Linked DNA regions of Neurospora crassa OR74A. The protein of the gene in region 2 interacts with the protein of the main gene of each other region in a biochemical or structural test. Links are inferred from orthologs where the notes say so. Each region holds a gene or a part of one and is shown on either strand. Other genes may lie near its edges.

The links.
Region 1: the proteins of NCU00469 (region 2) and NCU09465 are reported together in a solved structure, tested with the Saccharomyces cerevisiae proteins (2 studies listed by BioGRID, with this or other methods). The link is inferred for Neurospora crassa OR74A from reciprocal best matches to the Saccharomyces cerevisiae genes ATS1 and KTI11.

The regions. Positions count from the first base shown.
Region 1 is NC_026502.1:4,366,470-4,374,952, forward strand, and holds NCU09465 (diphthamide biosynthesis protein 3), read left to right. Parts: upstream 1-2,976; 5' UTR 2,977-3,152; coding exon 3,153-3,347; intron 3,348-3,458; coding exon 3,459-3,512; 3' UTR 3,513-4,506; downstream 4,507-8,483. Other genes in the region: NCU09464 (hypothetical protein), read left to right, coding at 558-663, 739-1,151; NCU09466 (hypothetical protein), read right to left, coding at 4,725-6,205, 6,267-6,447; NCU09467 (hypothetical protein), read left to right, coding at 8,149-8,483. UniProt on the Saccharomyces cerevisiae protein: Required for the first step of diphthamide biosynthesis, a post-translational modification of histidine which occurs in elongation factor 2.
Region 2 is NC_026503.1:3,966,001-3,974,634, forward strand, and holds NCU00469 (alpha-tubulin suppressor protein Aats1), read left to right. Parts: upstream 1-3,127; 5' UTR 3,128-3,294; coding exon 3,295-4,404; 3' UTR 4,405-4,505; coding exon of another isoform or gene 4,506-4,535; 3' UTR 4,536-4,546; downstream 4,547-8,634. Other genes in the region: NCU00468 (prephenate dehydrogenase), read right to left, coding at 929-1,983, 2,049-2,160, 2,234-2,294, 2,697-2,806; NCU00470 (DNA repair protein Rad9), read right to left, coding at 4,547-5,370, 5,430-5,666, 5,721-5,862, 5,920-6,057, 6,136-6,249; NCU00471 (hypothetical protein), read left to right, coding at 7,875-8,557.

The DNA.
Region 1 (8,483 bases), on a different chromosome or scaffold from region 2:
GCATACTTCGGAAACCATCTCCCCGCTCCGAAGGCAGAATGAGTTGAGGAGTCCAGGCTCGGAGGAACAGGTCATCCCTGTTGATTGCGTAGTTGTGTCAGCATCATGGTGTACTCGACTCCTTGAAGGGGATACGAAGCTCCAATGTCAGCCATGATGACCTCACTCCTGAAGTGAAGCCGAGTGTTCATCCGGCGTTGGACTTGCCCACAGCCTTCCTGGAACTTGGACTCAGCTCTCTTGTAATCGTCCCTGGTAGGCAGTGCAAGCTTCCTCTTTCATCATCCAGACATCTTCCGCGTCTTGGTATCTGATCACCTCATCTCCAGCCTCCCCTCACCTAACCTTTAATAGCCGTCTCCTTCCCCTCGTTTCCTCCGTCATCTTGCCTACCTCTCAACGCCTCATCATCCTTTTCTGCTCTCGTTTTCCCTCAAAGCTAAAGCAAGACAAAATTCGAACGAAGAGAGGATCAACTCATTCGCTATCAAAAGAACGAACTCTACCAAAGCCAAAACAAGCCAGCCACCGACCGGTCCTCAAGTCATCTAAGCAAGATGCGTTCCTCCACTCTCCTCGCTGTCCTCGGCACTGCCAGCCTCGCTGCTGCTCAAACCACCATTACCAGTATTTACGTGAGCACGCCGACCTCAACTTCTTTGAGTAAGTCTTTCTTCTTGGGTGTCCCGTCCGTCCGTTCTCACTGCCTTTTCCAACTGTTTGGTGTTTTTGTCACAGCACCTCCTCGTCAAAACGAGCGCCTCCAGTCTTGTCTAGCCGCTTGCATGATCCAATTCCCGGCTCTCCCTCGTGTTACAGGTGGTGGTGGTGTTATTCCACCTGCGCCTGCTGCCAAGGGGTGTCGGGGTCGGACGGACAGGCTGGATCGGGTTGCGCGTGATGTCGGACCGTGTCATCCCCATCAACCTCCTTCTCCTCTTCTCCCGGTCACTTTTCCTCCGTTTCCTCCCCCGAAAGCGCCTATTCCCATTCAGACTCCTCGTCCTGTTCCTGTTAACTCGCTGTCTCCTGATCCTGATTCTGCGGGGTTTGTGCCTGGGAATGAGGATGAGAACGAGCAGACCTACGAGGATCCCCCTCCTCTTCCTGACGACCCTCCTGTTGCGTCGCTTCCCCCTCTGGGATTTTAGTTATCCCTACCTAACCACCCCTTCTCTCCCCTTTTCTCCTTTTTTTTCCTCTTTTGAACCACTCTCTTTCTGCCTTTCATCTACCACTCTCTCTCTTTTTCATCCTACTAACATCAATACAAAACAAGCCACCACAACAGTCACACCCTCCTCTTCCACCACTTCCACCTCCACCTCCTCCACAACCACCACCGTCTACTCCTCTAGCACCACCAGCAGCTACACTTCTTCGGGCGTCACCACGTCCACTTCCACCTCGACTTCTACTGCGTCCCCGTCTTCGGTGCCTAGTGCTGCGGCTGGGAAGGTGCCGTTGCAGGGACCGGCGGTGGGGTTGGGTGTTTTTGCGGCGGTGGGGATGGTTTTGTTGTGAGAAGAGGTTTCCTAGTCTTTTGGGTTAAAATGTTTGTGATGTCTCGGGGCTGGGTTGAGTTGTCTGGGTTTCGGTTTCGATGTTGATGGTTGGGGGTGTTTGGTTGTTTGTTTGAGATGGGAAAGTAAACGAGTGAGCGAGGTATTGGCTGGGATGTAATGCTGTGGAATGCGTGGTGTCTATTTTCTGATGATGAAGAGTTGGGAATAGAAGGACGGTATGGTATAGTTCGGTGGTAGTGGTTATCCAAATCATGATGTTGTTGAGTCCGCTAATGTTGGTTGTTGAGCACACACGAAGGGACTTTGGTGCTGGTTTCATTTTCGTTATTTGGGGAGGTTTGGGTGAGGAGATTCGCGGAGACTGAAGAGTGAAGCATCGAGTTAAGATCGAAGGGATGATTTGACAAGGGGAGACGTGCGGCAGAGCTTGAATTCAGGGTAATGATGTTAGGGGATTGGGGATAAGTTCCTGGTGAGAGAGGAGGAGAAATGGAGGCACAACAGCATCAACAACAGTATTGGGAGGTGGATCTGAGGATGGAAGTCCAGATAGTTGGGGTTTCGTGAGAACAAATCAAAGAGGAAGTGTGGGTAGCGGTACGAGTGGGCGAAAGGACGCGAGGTTCTTGAAGATGCAGTTCTTGAGGTGAATGTTATGTGATGATGGCCAGAAGGAGGCAGAGAAGCATGAGGAGGCGTATCTGGTACATACAGAAAAGAGTTGATAATGAGTTTCTTTTCCTACTTAATCTTTCGGTGAATATGACCTCCAAGCGTCTCAACTCGTTCGAAAAAAATACTCTACTTCTTTCGACCAAAGAAAAGAAAGGGAAATGATGTCAGGAGATTGACCACCACTTCAACACGCAAAACGCAAAAAGAAACACGAGATGGTTGCTGGTCGCAGATGCATGAATAGCAAAAAGCCAAAAAGATATTGTGGATGACCCCAACCCGATTTGAACGGATAACCTTTCGATCTGGAGTCGAACGCGCTACCGTTGCGCCATAGGGCCTTGTTGAAAGTAAGGTTCATACCTAGGCTTTATAAGTAAAAGATGAGAGCCCTGCAGCCAGTGACAACATGCTCATCTTCATGCTCTTCGGTGATATGCAATCTCAGAAAAGTTTTTCGAGCCTTGGGGATAGCTTGGTTCTCTTTTGCCATTATATAAATGGATTCTGCGCTTGGTCTCATGGCATGTCTTTTGCGTAGCATGACTACAGCGATTGAGGAAGATTCGCTGTAGTGACGAAGCAATACGAGGTCTTGGTAAGTTACACAGCTTTGACCTACACGCATTGCCCAATCTTGGCGTACTACACGGTAAGATACTCTGCCCACCCCCACACTTCCATCCGCGCGCCGCACGCGCCAAAAGTTCACTGCAGTTCCCGTCACATCTGACATTTTGCCCCTCCACTGTCCCGCTCGCCGCGCTGACTCTTTTTTTTTCCCTGTCCGTTCCTTCAACTTTCCAACATATCATATCATCAGCCTCCAATCCAACCAACACTCCCAACTTTTTCGCTCCACCATCCAAACGATACTATCTAGCCCAGCTCGCGACATTTGCAACCCGAACAGATCCCACAAGCCGCGAAGTTTCAATCGAAATAACCAAAATGTCCGACGAAGAATACTCCATCTACGACGAAGTCGAAATCGAAGACATGACCTACGACCCAGCGCTGCAGACGTATTCGTACCCCTGCCCATGCGGCGACAAGTTCGAGATTGCGCTCGCCGACCTCCAGGACGGTCAGGACATTGCCGTTTGCCCGAGCTGTAGCTTGATGGTCAGGGTCATTTTTGAAGTTGTGAGTATTGCCATTTTCTGTGTGTGGGGGGAGGGACCAGGACATGGAGGCGAGAAGAGTTTTGGGTGGAATGCAGCAGTGTTGCTAACCAACGGATGATTACCTAAACAGGATAACCTCCCCAAGGCACCGGATGCCGCGGCGTCTATTGCTGTTTCCGCTTAATGGGGGACTACGAAGTCGAATGAAAAATCTAAGAGGCGCGGAATATAGAAGTGGCTCGCAACGAGGCGCTCATGATTCCGTACACCGAGGTTGAAGGTTAGGATAACACCAGCCTTTCCGACATCAACTTGCAACCAAAGCCACAATGATACAGCAGAAGCAAGCCGATTGCTTTCTCGAGCCCAGTCCAGTTCATACCAGCCGTCCTCGCCCTGGTTTGCATCGAGATCACGCCCCGCTGGCACAGCCAGCCAGTTAAACAAGCCGACCGAGCCAATGTACCAGTCGACAGATCCTCTGCTGTCCCCCGCCGATGCGAATGACCCTCAACCGGCGATAATGATAACCAGAACCAACTCGATTTGATTTGATCCGAGATCAGATCGACCTCGTCCAGAAAATAACAGCGTCGCTGCCCGGCCGCCGGGAACAAAGCAAGCAGAGCGACCATGACCTTCCAGGCCCCTGGTGCCGTTTACATCCAAGGATTCGTCGGTCGGATTTGCCAGCAGCTGGGTGAAAGCATTCAAAAACAAAGGGGATGCTTCATGGGTGGGCCTGGCTTTTCGCTGCCCTTGGCTTTTGTCTGCGACCGTGTGCTTTGGGCGTTGGGTGTTGGGCATCACAATCAACATTGGGACAGGCGTTTTCTACGTTGCAGCGGTTGATTTTGGGCGTGCTTCTTGGCTAGGATGGGATATCAAATAGATCGAAAGAATGGCGGGGCGGAGTGCGAAGGCAGGGGCTTGATTTAGATAGGTGCTCGGATGGCTTCAAATCGCGCACTAGATGGACGTGTCTCATGATCGGAAACGTGCGATGGAAGTGATAGGACTTTATCAACGCTTTGGAATCTTGTGTATATTACTTATATAGGCGTTGGGGTTGGGATATCTGCTTTGGAATTGGTGATCTGGGAGTTATTGCTTGAAGCTCTTTACCAAGTAGGAAACTACAATGACAGTCCTAAAGAAAAATGAGCATTCAACACCTGCCACGAGAATCTTGCATTGACTATCCTCTTTCCAACTTTCCATCTCGTATTAATGTAGAATAAGGTATGCTCATAATCTGATGTGATCGATATAACCCCATCCAGTTAACTCTTCCCCATTGCTCCTCCACGTCATCCCTCCATTCTCTCTCACCCCATCAACCGTTTCCATCCCATCAGTACCCCCAGGGCCTCACCCTCATGTCAATGTCAGGTACCTAACCACCCAAAAACCCCCTCCTCTCATTCCTCTTCCTCTCGCTGCTCAGCGCATCAAGCTTAACCGCCACCAAACAACATTCCACCACCGACGCCTTAGCCGGGTTGGGGTTGGGACTTGACTGAATACGCAGCCGCCACTGGCCGGTTTTGACGATCCATTGCTCGCCGCCTAGTGGTGATGAGGTCGAAACGCTGGTCACTCCGTAGGGCGGACTGGAGTCTAGGCGTCGGCGTTTTCGAGGGTTGGGGTTTTCGTCGGGTGATGATGATTGTTGGAAGGGGGAGGGTTTGGTGCTGGGGTTGATGGAATCGGGGGTTTCAGCTGTTGAGGGGCCGCCGGAGGACGAGGAGGCAGATGGAATGGTAGTGCCGGGGGTGTTGTTTGTGGTTCCATTTGCGGGTAATGATGGATGGGCAGTCTGATCGGACTCGTCTGCTGTCCAGGGTTGGCCGTCTAATGTTATGCTTGCTTCGGGGTCGAGGATGACGCGGACGAGATCTTCGCTGAGAAGAGCGTCTCTTGACGTGGACGGTTCGCTACCCCTCCCTCCTTTGGCCATCAATAGCCCCGAGGGCTGAGTGAAGGGGGGCAAGTTGAGCTTGGTAGCGATGACCTCGAATAACTTGGCCATTTTCGCCTTGATGTCCGTGAAGAACTCCGCTCTGACTTCTTCCTTCCCCCCCGGTCCAATGTGTAACTGCGTGGCTTCTTCGCCGATTTCAAGTACGAGTTCCATTGCTTTGTCGTCCGCATACGGCCTGGCATAATTCACCCACGCCGCCAACGGATCTCCCTCCACCGGCTCATTAGCCACGCTTATCCCGCTCTTCATAATATCTCTCAACCCCAGCACAATCTCTTCCCGTCCCCTGACCTGATTGAACCCCTTTTCATGCGGGATCAACCGCTGCTCCAGGCCCTTGAAGTTGTACCACCTGCAGTCCTTCAGAAGCTCCTGCCGATGCCTCTCATCCCGGATCTTCACCGGGTACCCTCTCAGCATATGCAGTAGTTCCTGAAAGACCTCGGCACTGCGATTCGGTACATTAGGCGCGACGATGGACGGCGGACGAATCAGTCCCTCCTTGTCCAAACCGGGAAACAAATCCTCGGGATTGCTGAAAAACATGGCAAACCCGAGCGTAAAAAAGTTGGGCGTGTTCCCGGGTCCAGAAAGGGAGAAGATTTCGCGCGGGATCTGGAAGGGTGTGGAGCCGATGGTGATGTGAATGGGTTCCTCGTAGAGCTGGGACATGAGCTTGGGAAGGGAGTAGAACTGGGCATCGGCGAAGAGGCGGACAAGGTGAGTGGCGTCCCGGGGCCGGACGTGGTAGCCCTGAAGGTGCAGAGAGATGTCTTTGAAGGTGACGGGGTCGCGGTCGATGTAGAGGGTGCGGATGGCGGTGGAGGGGTCTTGGCCGGCGTCGGAGGCTTGCTTGAGTTGGCAGAGGAAGTACTGCGAGAAGTAGGAGGGGGCTGTGGATGTGTTAGTCATTTATGAAGTGTACCTAGGTAGGAAAGGGATGAAGTGACCAACCATCGGAGGAAAGTGAGGCGCCGGACAGCTTGAACAACTCAGTACCTATCTGAATGGGAAACACTCGTTCGTGAGGAAGAATGTTCGGTATGTGAACTATCCGTTGGTGTGAAGAGGCTGAGATGACGGATACGCCATGTTCACCGTTCCTGGCGGGAACACCATGCCCTGAGCTGGTCATGGCTAGCTGCTTTCCAGGACAAGATGCTCACAAAAATTGTAAAGGATTGTCGCGGCGGAACCAAAGTATTTGGACTATGGCTTGGGTAAGCTCATTGTCCGTTATTGGTGGGGATTGAAAGTATGATGAAGTGAGTTCCTTGTGCAAGTCGTGGTCTTTTTAGCAGACAAGCGCGAAGGGTATATGGAAGCTCGGGATGGAAAAAGTGAAGATGACGATAGGAAATGGAATGTTTCACGGATCGTGAATGGGCATGGTCTACAAACTAAAAGTGCAAAAGCCACCCGGGGGAAGATGTGTTACATGTGATGATATACATGTATAAGAGAGGGGAGGTCGTAATATAAGTTAGGTAGAGTCCCTGTCGAACGGCGTGGCACCGGGATTGCGGTCTGGTTACCTTTTTTTGTCTTTGTGTCGCATCGTCTCGTTGCAGCGAAGAACCCAAAGTCGATTCTAGGCCACGCCAAGGAAGAAGCACAGCGCTCACATCGCCGGTGTGAAGTGGCTGGTGGTCCCTGCGATCATCTTGGTCCAAAGTCTAACCTAAAGCGGCATAACTCTCCCTTGGCCAGCTGTCTCGTCCACCTGGCCCGAGCTGTCAAGGTACGTATCGTTTTCTTGTGTCAACCATCAGGCATGTCGACTTCAACTTTGTTTTTTCCGATGTCCTGTCGCTAGGGCTTCAAGCCACTCCCGGCGGCCTCGTCTCAATCCGTGATAATCGGCGCGCCCATCTCTGAGAGGGATGCCTGTCTCGGAGCGATCTATGCGCCTGGATCTGGGGACGTTCGAATCAATGCGATTGGGCAAATTTCGCGGTCGATTTTGTGGGAGGCGGGGTTAGATCGAGCAACCACCATCCTGTGTCACGGTCTAGATGAGAGGAGGTACTTACCATGGAGTTGACAGTGTGGGATGTGGATGGATTGGTGGCGGTTGAGACGCTCACTCTTGACTGCATTCATGAGGAGAAGGAGCAAACTGACGAAATGTCAAATTGGGCAGGGAATGAGGGGAAGAGTCCATCGGGCCATGTCGGGTTCTACCTGACGAGAGCCGACCAAGAAGACAAGGTCAGCAGAGGCTGTTTCTTCAAACGAAAGCGGAAAACATGCGTTCAGAGTTCAGTTTCAGAGTGCAAGGATGGTGACCACGAATCGAAAAATGCCGTCTGGTCAAGCAGTGTCCAGTTGACCGCATGTCACAGTCGACATCGTCGTTCGGCCTTCGGCAGCGGTTGGTTGCTTCCGCCGCAGCACCAAACACTCGCCCAGCATGGATGGACCAGACCAGGTCAAACGCCGACGCTAGGACCTGGCACTAGACATGAGGCATGTCTTGTCATCTTCAACGTTTGGTGCCTTCTCACAGCCGGCATCATGGACTTGCCAGCAGCCTTAGGTGACGGATCTACGCGCGAGGCCCTCAGTTTGCGCTTCCGAGGCGGAAATCCTGCCCATTTCTCCTCCCGAATGGTCGACATTACGGATTCTTGCCGTGTGATGAAAGACACAATAGCGTTGTGAGCTTAGCAAAGGCAGGCAAACAATGCCTTGCTTTGTTGGCGGAGTGCTCTGGTAGACTAGGATCGTGAGAGCACAACTTCCATGATATCACACCCATCACTATTTCTTCACACGCCCATCCGCGCTCTGCATTCTGCTTGTCATTACTACCTAACGTACCCACGTTCAACATATGATGTCTTCAGATCAAACAGACCACGCAAAGGTGGTCTCTCAGCTCTTTCACGATATCACTGCACACACATCCTACGAGAAGCTCAAGGGCATTTTTGACCAAAATGCCGAGCTCCGCGACAAAGTCAAAAAGCTCACAACGACTCTGGAGGTGAACCTCGAGAGCCTGCACAACGCCAAAGCGAAACTGGACAAGTCATGCCAAGAGTTGCAAAAGAAAGACGAGCAAGTCCAGTCTCTTCAGAAGGAGGCCGACCACCTTGGTTCAATACTCACGGCCAAGACACATGAACTCAAAGAAGGGGCCCAAAACATAACCAGGACTGAAGACGC
Region 2 (8,634 bases):
CAAACGGTTGCTCTCGCCGAGCTATTGTAGGGTAGCTTGGGGTATACGCGAAATTTCGGGTGCAATTTCGTGATTCTTTTTTGAAAATTGGCCGTGATAGATGTTATGAGAGGATCGGATAACTGTATCATACAATATAGAAGGAAAGTAGCAGTGTCCGTCGCGCTGGTGATGTTGTGTGCAACAGGCAACGAAACAGTCCAACTAAGCAAGCTGCAAGTACGCTGAGGCGAAAGCTTGATTGCGGCAGGCCGCAGTGGCATACGGCCTCATGTGGGTCAATTCATGGAGGGGGTCCAGCCTGCGATGCGGGGGTTAAGTGAAGCTGATAAGCTTCTGGCGCCGCGGCAATCAGCCATCAAGGTTCTACCTTAGGTACTGTGCAGGCATCTACCTACCTATCTATAAACAAAACAACAAAAAGCACTTCGTAGGCCGTGGAGCTCTCGACATCGAAGCCCTGCCGGGCAATGTCATCTCCTGACTCGGTGTGCCAAACTTCATCATGAAGATGCACCAGCGGAGGAAGGGCCTTGTGAGTGACATGACCTGAGGACGGTAGCTGGAGGGCTGACCATAGGAAGAAGATACGAAAATAGGACTCTGTACCAGGTAGGTACCAGTAGTGTTGCAGCCAGGACAGCATCATCTCTCGCCATGCCTCATACAGCATTACAGCAAATCTCACAATCGTACATCATCAAAGAACCAACCGAGACGAATTTTCCAAAATCCAGATGTCCGTTTTTCAATTATCAATATCACGGTCGTTGCTGGGAAGCCTACGCCAGGTAGCCGTGTTATACCCACAGATATATCTCGTCCATCAAGATGCCCGTTTTTTCCCCCCTGATACCGTTCCACAGCCCTTCGCGCATTCAACCTTCTCCATGTGCATTCCAATCCAGTCTCCGTTCCGTACATACCTTTAGTCCTTCTCATCGCTTGCCAGGACTGCCTTGATCATCGCATTACCTACCTCCACCGCTCCCTTGAACCTCGGCTCGAAGAAAGCCTGGGTAACCGCAAACCGCTCCCTCCACGTCTCGAATTGCCTCAGACCCACACACTCGGCCCAGCCCGCCGCCGCAATGGTGAACTGCAAGTCATCCCTTCTGAAAGTCCGATCCTCGATGCCGACCTTCAGGCACTCATCCAGCAAGCCTGGGGTCCTGAACAAGTGCTCGGTGACGCCCAGCCAGAGTCGGAACAGGGGAGTCGAGCAGATCATGTGGTCGTACGGCACGATTCCCAGAGCGCTCCAGCAGTCGACCATGGCAAGCAGCGAGAGGTGGTTGTTGGGCAAGGAGGGAGCCGAAGGGCCGCCATTTTCCGGCTGGCGGAGGCTGAACTGGTCGAGCACATCGTCACGGAGGAGAGGTTTGCTCGCCCACTTGGGGCTTCCTTCGGCACCGAAGACTTTTTCCTTGGCGGCGTACACGCGGGCGCGAAGCTCGTCGCTATGACCCTCCAGCATAAGTTGGAACAGCTCGGTGGTGGACTTGGCGAACTGGGCAATCTGCTTGTGTGCTTCGGGGTTGAGGATGGCGAGGCCGGCGTAGACGTGCCACTTTTGGGCATAGATGCGGAGCATGAGGTTGATCTTGACGTTTTCGATGCCGCCGACATAACGGGTTCCCTCCCAGGGGAATTGCTTGGTTGCATGCCAGGCCTTGCCCATGCTGAGGAAAGCGGCGTGGGTGACGGCTTGGGTATCGGCCGTGATGCGGTCATGTTCATCGGCACTCAGGTAGACAACCTTGGAGTTAAGGCAGGAGAGTACGTGCTCAACCTTGGAGAAAGATTCGTCGGAGGCGCGATGCTTGATGAGCACCAGCGGCTGGCCCTTGGGATCGACATTGGGGCCGTGAAGGGAGTGGCAGGATACGATGTCAACGTCGGCGGGCAGGTACTTTTCGAAAGCCTTGATCTCAGGATCTTTACAGGACGTTTGGCCACCAACAATAGCGCCGAGCTTGGTCGCTAAAAACGAGGTACGCGGTTAAGGTCAAGTCTACGTGACGGGGAGAGAGGTCATGGCAACACACATGGACCGTACTGGGCGACGACACGATCGATGACCGCCGCCTCAACACTGTAGATGATATAATCGCTGGCGCGAGACACGAAATGACCGTTACGGAGAATTTGTATATTGTTCTAGAAAGCAAAATATGAAGACTCAGCACTGATTCTGCTGTAGAGAGATCGGGCTAAATGTGTGCGACCGTACATTCCCCTCGAACTCTTGTACCAGCTCATCATATTTCTCTTCTCTATCGCAGGCCATGATCCTGAAAGGGATCGTTAGCCAACCGATTCCTGATCATGCTGTAACACTAAGAACCTGTTGATATCTGGTCAGCGAAAGTCCCTTACAAATGCTGCAAGATATAAAGATGTGTGAAGATGTGTTTGTTTCAGACGAAAATTGTAAGGTAGCTGAGATTTTTCATCATGGAAAGCTCCCTACACAAACTGGGACCGGAACGGTTGACCAGCCGTGACAGGCGCGATACTCTAGCCAAATGCACTCAAGTCATCATATTAGGGGGTAATGGGGAATGAGAAGAACTGTTGCAACGTACCATTTGAACAACTGCGAAATGTTTGTTGAAGGTTAGTCGCGGTGGCAGGCTCCGCGAAGAGCCTGGGCGTGATTGACGACGATGAGACGAGCGAGGAAGAATTATTACCTCCAACCTGCGCTGCTAAGTCTCCGGGCATACATCTTGCCCATATCGCCCATCCCAATCAGACCGACAGTGAAGCCGGTCATATTGGGGGATTCCGATGTCGAAGCCATATTGACGCGTGTATTGTTTCTTTCCAGCAGGACCGGTCGATTGCGGCAACTATCACATCGTCACACAAGACCCTCGGCACCAAAGAAGCACTCGCTCGATGATCGCGCGAGAAGCAATGGGTGAGGCTGCGTTGCTGTTGCTGGCTTTGTGGTACGGAAAGGAAGAAATTTTCAATTCGGGAGGCCGCAAGGTGGGATTTTAAAAACGACTGGAAAATCCCGTCAGTGTGCTTCGCCCCACTTTGATTTGCACTGGAAAGCTCGGACCATCTTCCCGACACCGCAAATGGAGCCATGCCTCCGAACTTACAGCCTCCGAACCAAAACTCCACCAATGTCCCGGCCCGGCACCGGCTGTGCGCGGAGGCTGCAATGAATGCCGTCGTCATCCTTAGTTGCCACGATTAAAAGACGGGACATTTCCGGGAAAACATCGACTTATCATCATTCCGCCTCGCTCAGTCCATTAATCGAGAAGTTGCATCAGAATGCTGCTACTCTTCGCTCTTGGATCTAATGGCTCCGGCCAGCTAGGCATCGGCCACAAAGAAGACGTTTCCGTTCCAAAGGATGCCCATTTTGATGCAGACCTTCCGGCTACCGCCTCCATCACCAAGATTGTTGCTGGAGGTAACCACACAATTATTTTGACTACGACCGGCGACATCTACTGGAGCGGAGACCCGAATACCGGTGCCTGTGGCAAGTTCACTCAAACACAAATTTCGCAGCCTCCTCGATTTCACCCGGTCGACATTTCATCTGTATCAACACCCCAAGACCCATTCAGGGTAGGTATGGTTGCAGCTGCCTGGGAAGCAAGCATCTTTACCCGCCTGGATGCCCAAGGTCGCAACACCAGAGTCTACTCTTGCGGCACCGGCCTGAAAGGCGAGTTGGGCTTGGGCACGTTCATCTTCCGTACGGCGACTCCGTCTCTGATTCCAGATTTTCCTCCCCCGGACACGGAAGTTGTCGATCTCGCCGCTTGTATGGGCCATGTCGTTGCAGTTTTAAGCAATGGTGACGTTTGGGGTTGGGGTAATGGCCGGAAGGGTCAGATCGGAGCGCCGGAGGATATTGTTCACTCACCCCGCAAAATCGAGGGTTTGGGCTTCAAGGTTGTGAAAGCGGTCTGTGGAAAGGAATTCACATGCTTTCTGGGAAGCCCTGAAAGCGGTAACATCATGGTCCTTGGTTCAGACAAATGGGGGATCAGGGGTGAAGTTCCGGACCAGGTTGTCGGATGGCGAGAGGTCGGTGCTAGTTGGGGCAACCTGTTCATCTTGAAGGGAGATGGAAGCTTATTGAGCTGGGGCCGTAATGACCATGGTCAACTCGCTCCCGCGAACCTACCCCAAACCAAACATATTGCGGTGGGGAGCGAACATGCACTGGCCTTGAGCGAGGAGGGCGACGTTACAGCCTGGGGCTGGGGTGAACACGGCAACTGCGGACCGCTCAGTAGTTCGGATGTCACAAAGGGTCAGCAGAACGTTATTGCGTCGTCGAAGTTCATTCCTTCGGGCGCTAAAATAACCACCATCGGGGCCGGCTGTGCCACCAGTTGGGTGGCAATACAGATGCCGTCAACTTAGAGCCTTGGGAACAGTCAAAGATATGCCGAGGATGACTGCTAAGTCGTATGTTACAGTACATGAACTAAACCACCCCTTTAAGCACTGCTCGGTTTACTTGGTCAAGAGGAAAATAAACCAAAGCGCCGAACCTGATTGCCAGTTAGCAAAAGAATAGACATAGGAGACAACAAGATACATGCCTCAGAAAGCTGCTGGGTTGGCTCGAGTCCCCCAGCAAGTCTGTCTGGCTCATTACCGGGCACAGCCGGTCTTGCCAGTAAACTGCTAATTCGCAAGGACGGCGGGTTCTGGAGTGGATGTTAGCCATCTTTTTTCTGGCGACTAGAGGGAAATGACGTAGAAGTACCGGCTCGCCCGTTGCATTCCACTCGACTCTAGCGTTGTCCATCTCCTCTTCATCCTCACGATCCACGGGATCCCATTGCCGGTCCTCGTCGCCTTGCTCAACGAATAACGGCGAATCAGATCGATCAGTCCTGGCGGCCACCGGGCTTCGAGGCGGTATGGGTGGTGGTCGAATTTCAAATTGTGTCTGTCGTGGTTGTGGAGGTGTCTTTTGTTGAGGAGGCTTCTGCGCTGGTTTTGGAACGTCTTTGGCCTCATTGTTTGCAACAGAGCCGTCGGGCTTAGACGCAGGACCCGGTCCCGGACCCGAACCCGGTTTTGGGGTCTTTGAAGCCCTCGCCCTGGTATTTTTGTGCTTCTGAGTGATGGCATCCTGTTCTCCAACCGTCATGAGGATGAACTCGCACAGGATACCGTCCGCACTATAAGATAACTTCATCGGGCGTCCGGGCTCCGAGTAGTAGGTTGCGAGCTCTCCGCTGATTATTTGAGCGTGTTGCAGAATGGCTCGGAAATCCTTGACACTAATGATGATGTGAAGTTTGTCTTGGACTTCAACCTCATTAAACTCGGCCATTTCTACAGAAATGTTGGTGTGAAGCGGCTTCTTGAGGACAGCTTTTCACGCCATTGTCAGCATCATCCTCCAACTTGGCTTGAAGGGAGGTCTTACGAACCTTCATTGCCATGAGGGCCGCGTTTCTGCACCTTGTCCGTGAAGCAGGTAAAGTTCACAACATGATCATCGTCATCCGTGTTGATATCAAGCAATTCAATACCCGGACCGAAATGATCCATGAGTTGTCGCAGTGTGCTAGATGAGATCGACCAACGATTCCCAGCCTCGTCCTTCTCAAACTTGGCATGAGTTGGTGGCTTTGATTCGAACGGTAGAGAATGAGACGCGGTGATTCCTGTAACGTTGTGAGCTTTGTAGGTATCATGACTATGATCGGAGCGTTATGTACCGTTCCTGCAAGAGATTCTGGCAATCAACCGGCTCTTCTTGCCAGGGCCATCGTCAATGGCAACATCACAGCGCTCGATGGAAGCATCTTTATCCCGTGCAGAATCACCACCTTGGCGAGACCGAAAGATGGACAAGAGGGACTGAGAGAAATTGTTGGTAAATACCCAGGGGACATAGGTCTAGGAGCGACCACTCACCCGGATATAGAGTTGGCAGAAGAATCTATCTCGATACTGGGCATTCCCCTCGAAATGGTAACGGGAGAAGAACCTGTTAGCGGCAAAAGTGAAGCAAACGTATGCTGACTTTGAGATGTTGAGAGTAGTCAAGGTAAGCTAAGAGACAGATAAATTAGCACCTGTATCACAATCTCAAGAAGGGAAGATTTGTTGGTGAGCCCTATATGTACGTACCTTGTCCCTTCTTGCTTCCAAGCAAACATCATCACTGAACTTGTACATGCAGGCGAGGGCGTCGTGGAAAACAGACACGCCCTCCTCGCTGAGCGTGAAGTTCAAGATTACCATTTTGTGGCCGTCGTCGCAATTAGTCGATCGACTTATATTCTTTTGGTCAGGAAGAGCTTTCTCGGGTCTAAGTCTGGCCACTCAGTTTCTCGCATCCAGTCAGCGATTTCTGTTGTGATGGCCCCCTGCAGTGGCCTGGAGTATGATGGAAAATAAATCGAGGCCGAGTGCAGTTGCCTTGGAGTGCTCTTGCGTGACACAAAACGCTGTACCTATCAAGAGCAAGTGAACAATGGATGGAAGGTGCAACTGTGATGGTTGCGCGGCTGCTCCCACTCGCAAGAGACCGCGTCGAAGCACAGCATTTGGGGCGGTAAATTTCAGTGCCTAGCACCCTAGCCTAGCTCTAGGGCCCTCTAAAATAGGTACACACAGGGACCGATCGACGCTCCCGTCACCTTGCCGGACTTCCGTCGTTCATGAGCGACATACCTACCTGTAGGTACCTAGGTCGAGGTACCTCTACTAGGTACCAGTAGCCCGGTCTTTCAGGTCAATTTCCCCCCCCACTTGCGCCTAGTTGCGGCATGAACTAGGTCCCGTCGAGCTCACAAAAAGGAAAAAGCTCCCATGCCCGGACTATTGTTGGTACGTGCGGGAGTTCCTCAGTAATATTCAAGTGTACACCTTTTCTTCTGTTGAATTCCCGTTTGGTATGGGACAAGTGATTTGATACTGTGGAAGCAGCAATAGGTACCTCTAGCTCAACCTCATTGGCTCGGCTACCTATCGTAGTCAATGTGGAGGCTGTTGGATATCCGAGTCCTCAACTGACACACGACAACAAACGCAATTCCGAAAACACCCTGTTTATAAGAAGTCGTGAAGCAAATCACACTGCATTTATGAATTCCACCAGTGAGCGCGCTCTGATGCCTTGAGTATGCACGCACATGTGACAAGGGGGCTCGTGTACCCTAGAGGTAGGTATTGATTTACGAGTACAAGAAATCGCCCTTCTGTGGTTTTCGGAATTTATCTCCAGTCCTCTCTCTGTCCAAACAGCCCAGATCGCTCTGACAATTCGCAAACGACTGTTTCATCTTCTGCTTTTCCCTCCCAAACAATAATCTACTGCTTAGTGTAGACCCTTTACTGAATTTCACAGTGAGGCTCGGCAGAAACTGTCCGTTGTGGCAACTGAAGTTCCGTCCACACAAGTGCATCACAGCAACCCATTTGCCAGGAGAATCACTGCACACCCAGCAACCAACTTGTCCATAAGCATCACCATTGACGCGGGCATTGTCACGGAATATTCTTGGATTTCCGCTTCGCAGCCGCTCCTCCACAACCAGCATAGGCCGTCGAGACTTTTCAAGACTTTAGCCAGGCACGCTGGTAGATTCCTTTTGCTTGTCGAGAGGAACCCATACTTCCACGGTTCTTTTGAGTTGCACGCTAAGGTTCGTGGTGCTTTCTCGCCCCTCCCTTCCATCACAGTACCTGTACCTATTCCCTTAACTGCTCCTTCAGCCCCCTTCAAACGTACAATGTTTTCTGACTTTTGCCCAGACAAAGTTAAACAGAACCGTTCACTTCCGCCGTGCCGTGGGCAGCTATACCGCATTTCGCATTCCCACGTCCACTTTATTGGTTGTTTCGTCCTGGCCTCAACAGTTGCCATGACCTTCCCGGGCTTTCCCACAGAAATTTGGTGGCTTATTGTTGACCAGGCTGCCAGTATAAAAGACCTATCAACAATGTTTCTCATTGCTCGTCTCAATCGTACCATGGCATGCTTTGCCTTGCCGCTAATGTACGGCATCGTCAAAGGGTTAATGTATGACGACGCGGACAGGCAGTCGGTCTGCTTCTGGAGATCTATCATTGTGTCCAGCCTGGGGAAGACCTTATATCCGTACTGCTGTTGGGTTAAGACACTTGACTTCTCCGATCTCCTCAACTTCCTCCAAAATTTCGATAAATCAGAGGATGCCCAACTGCGTTACAAATTTTACAGCCCGCCACTTCGCTACCTACAACTACTCCAAATTAATATATCCAACCCAGACCATCCATTCGACCAAGACAATTTCGATGGCAACGTAGGTCCACATGTGCTATTCTGTGAAGTCGTCAACAAGATCACAGAAGGTATCAGGGCTACCGCCGACCAGGGGCACGTCACTTCCCATTTAACTAAAGTTCGGTTTCCGAACCTAGAATATCTGCCCTGTATATTATATTTTCCTGTGTGGATTTCAAGGCTCACTGGATTGACAACGCTTCATATCCATGACATATCTTTACTGAACGAACAGGTGACTCTGGCTATTGCTGAGAACTGCTCTGCCCTCAAACATTTGTGAGCATTCTTCAGTTCCCCACCTATAACCGCATGCCACCCTTCGCGGAGGCATTCGCAGCCGTTCTACTCAAAAC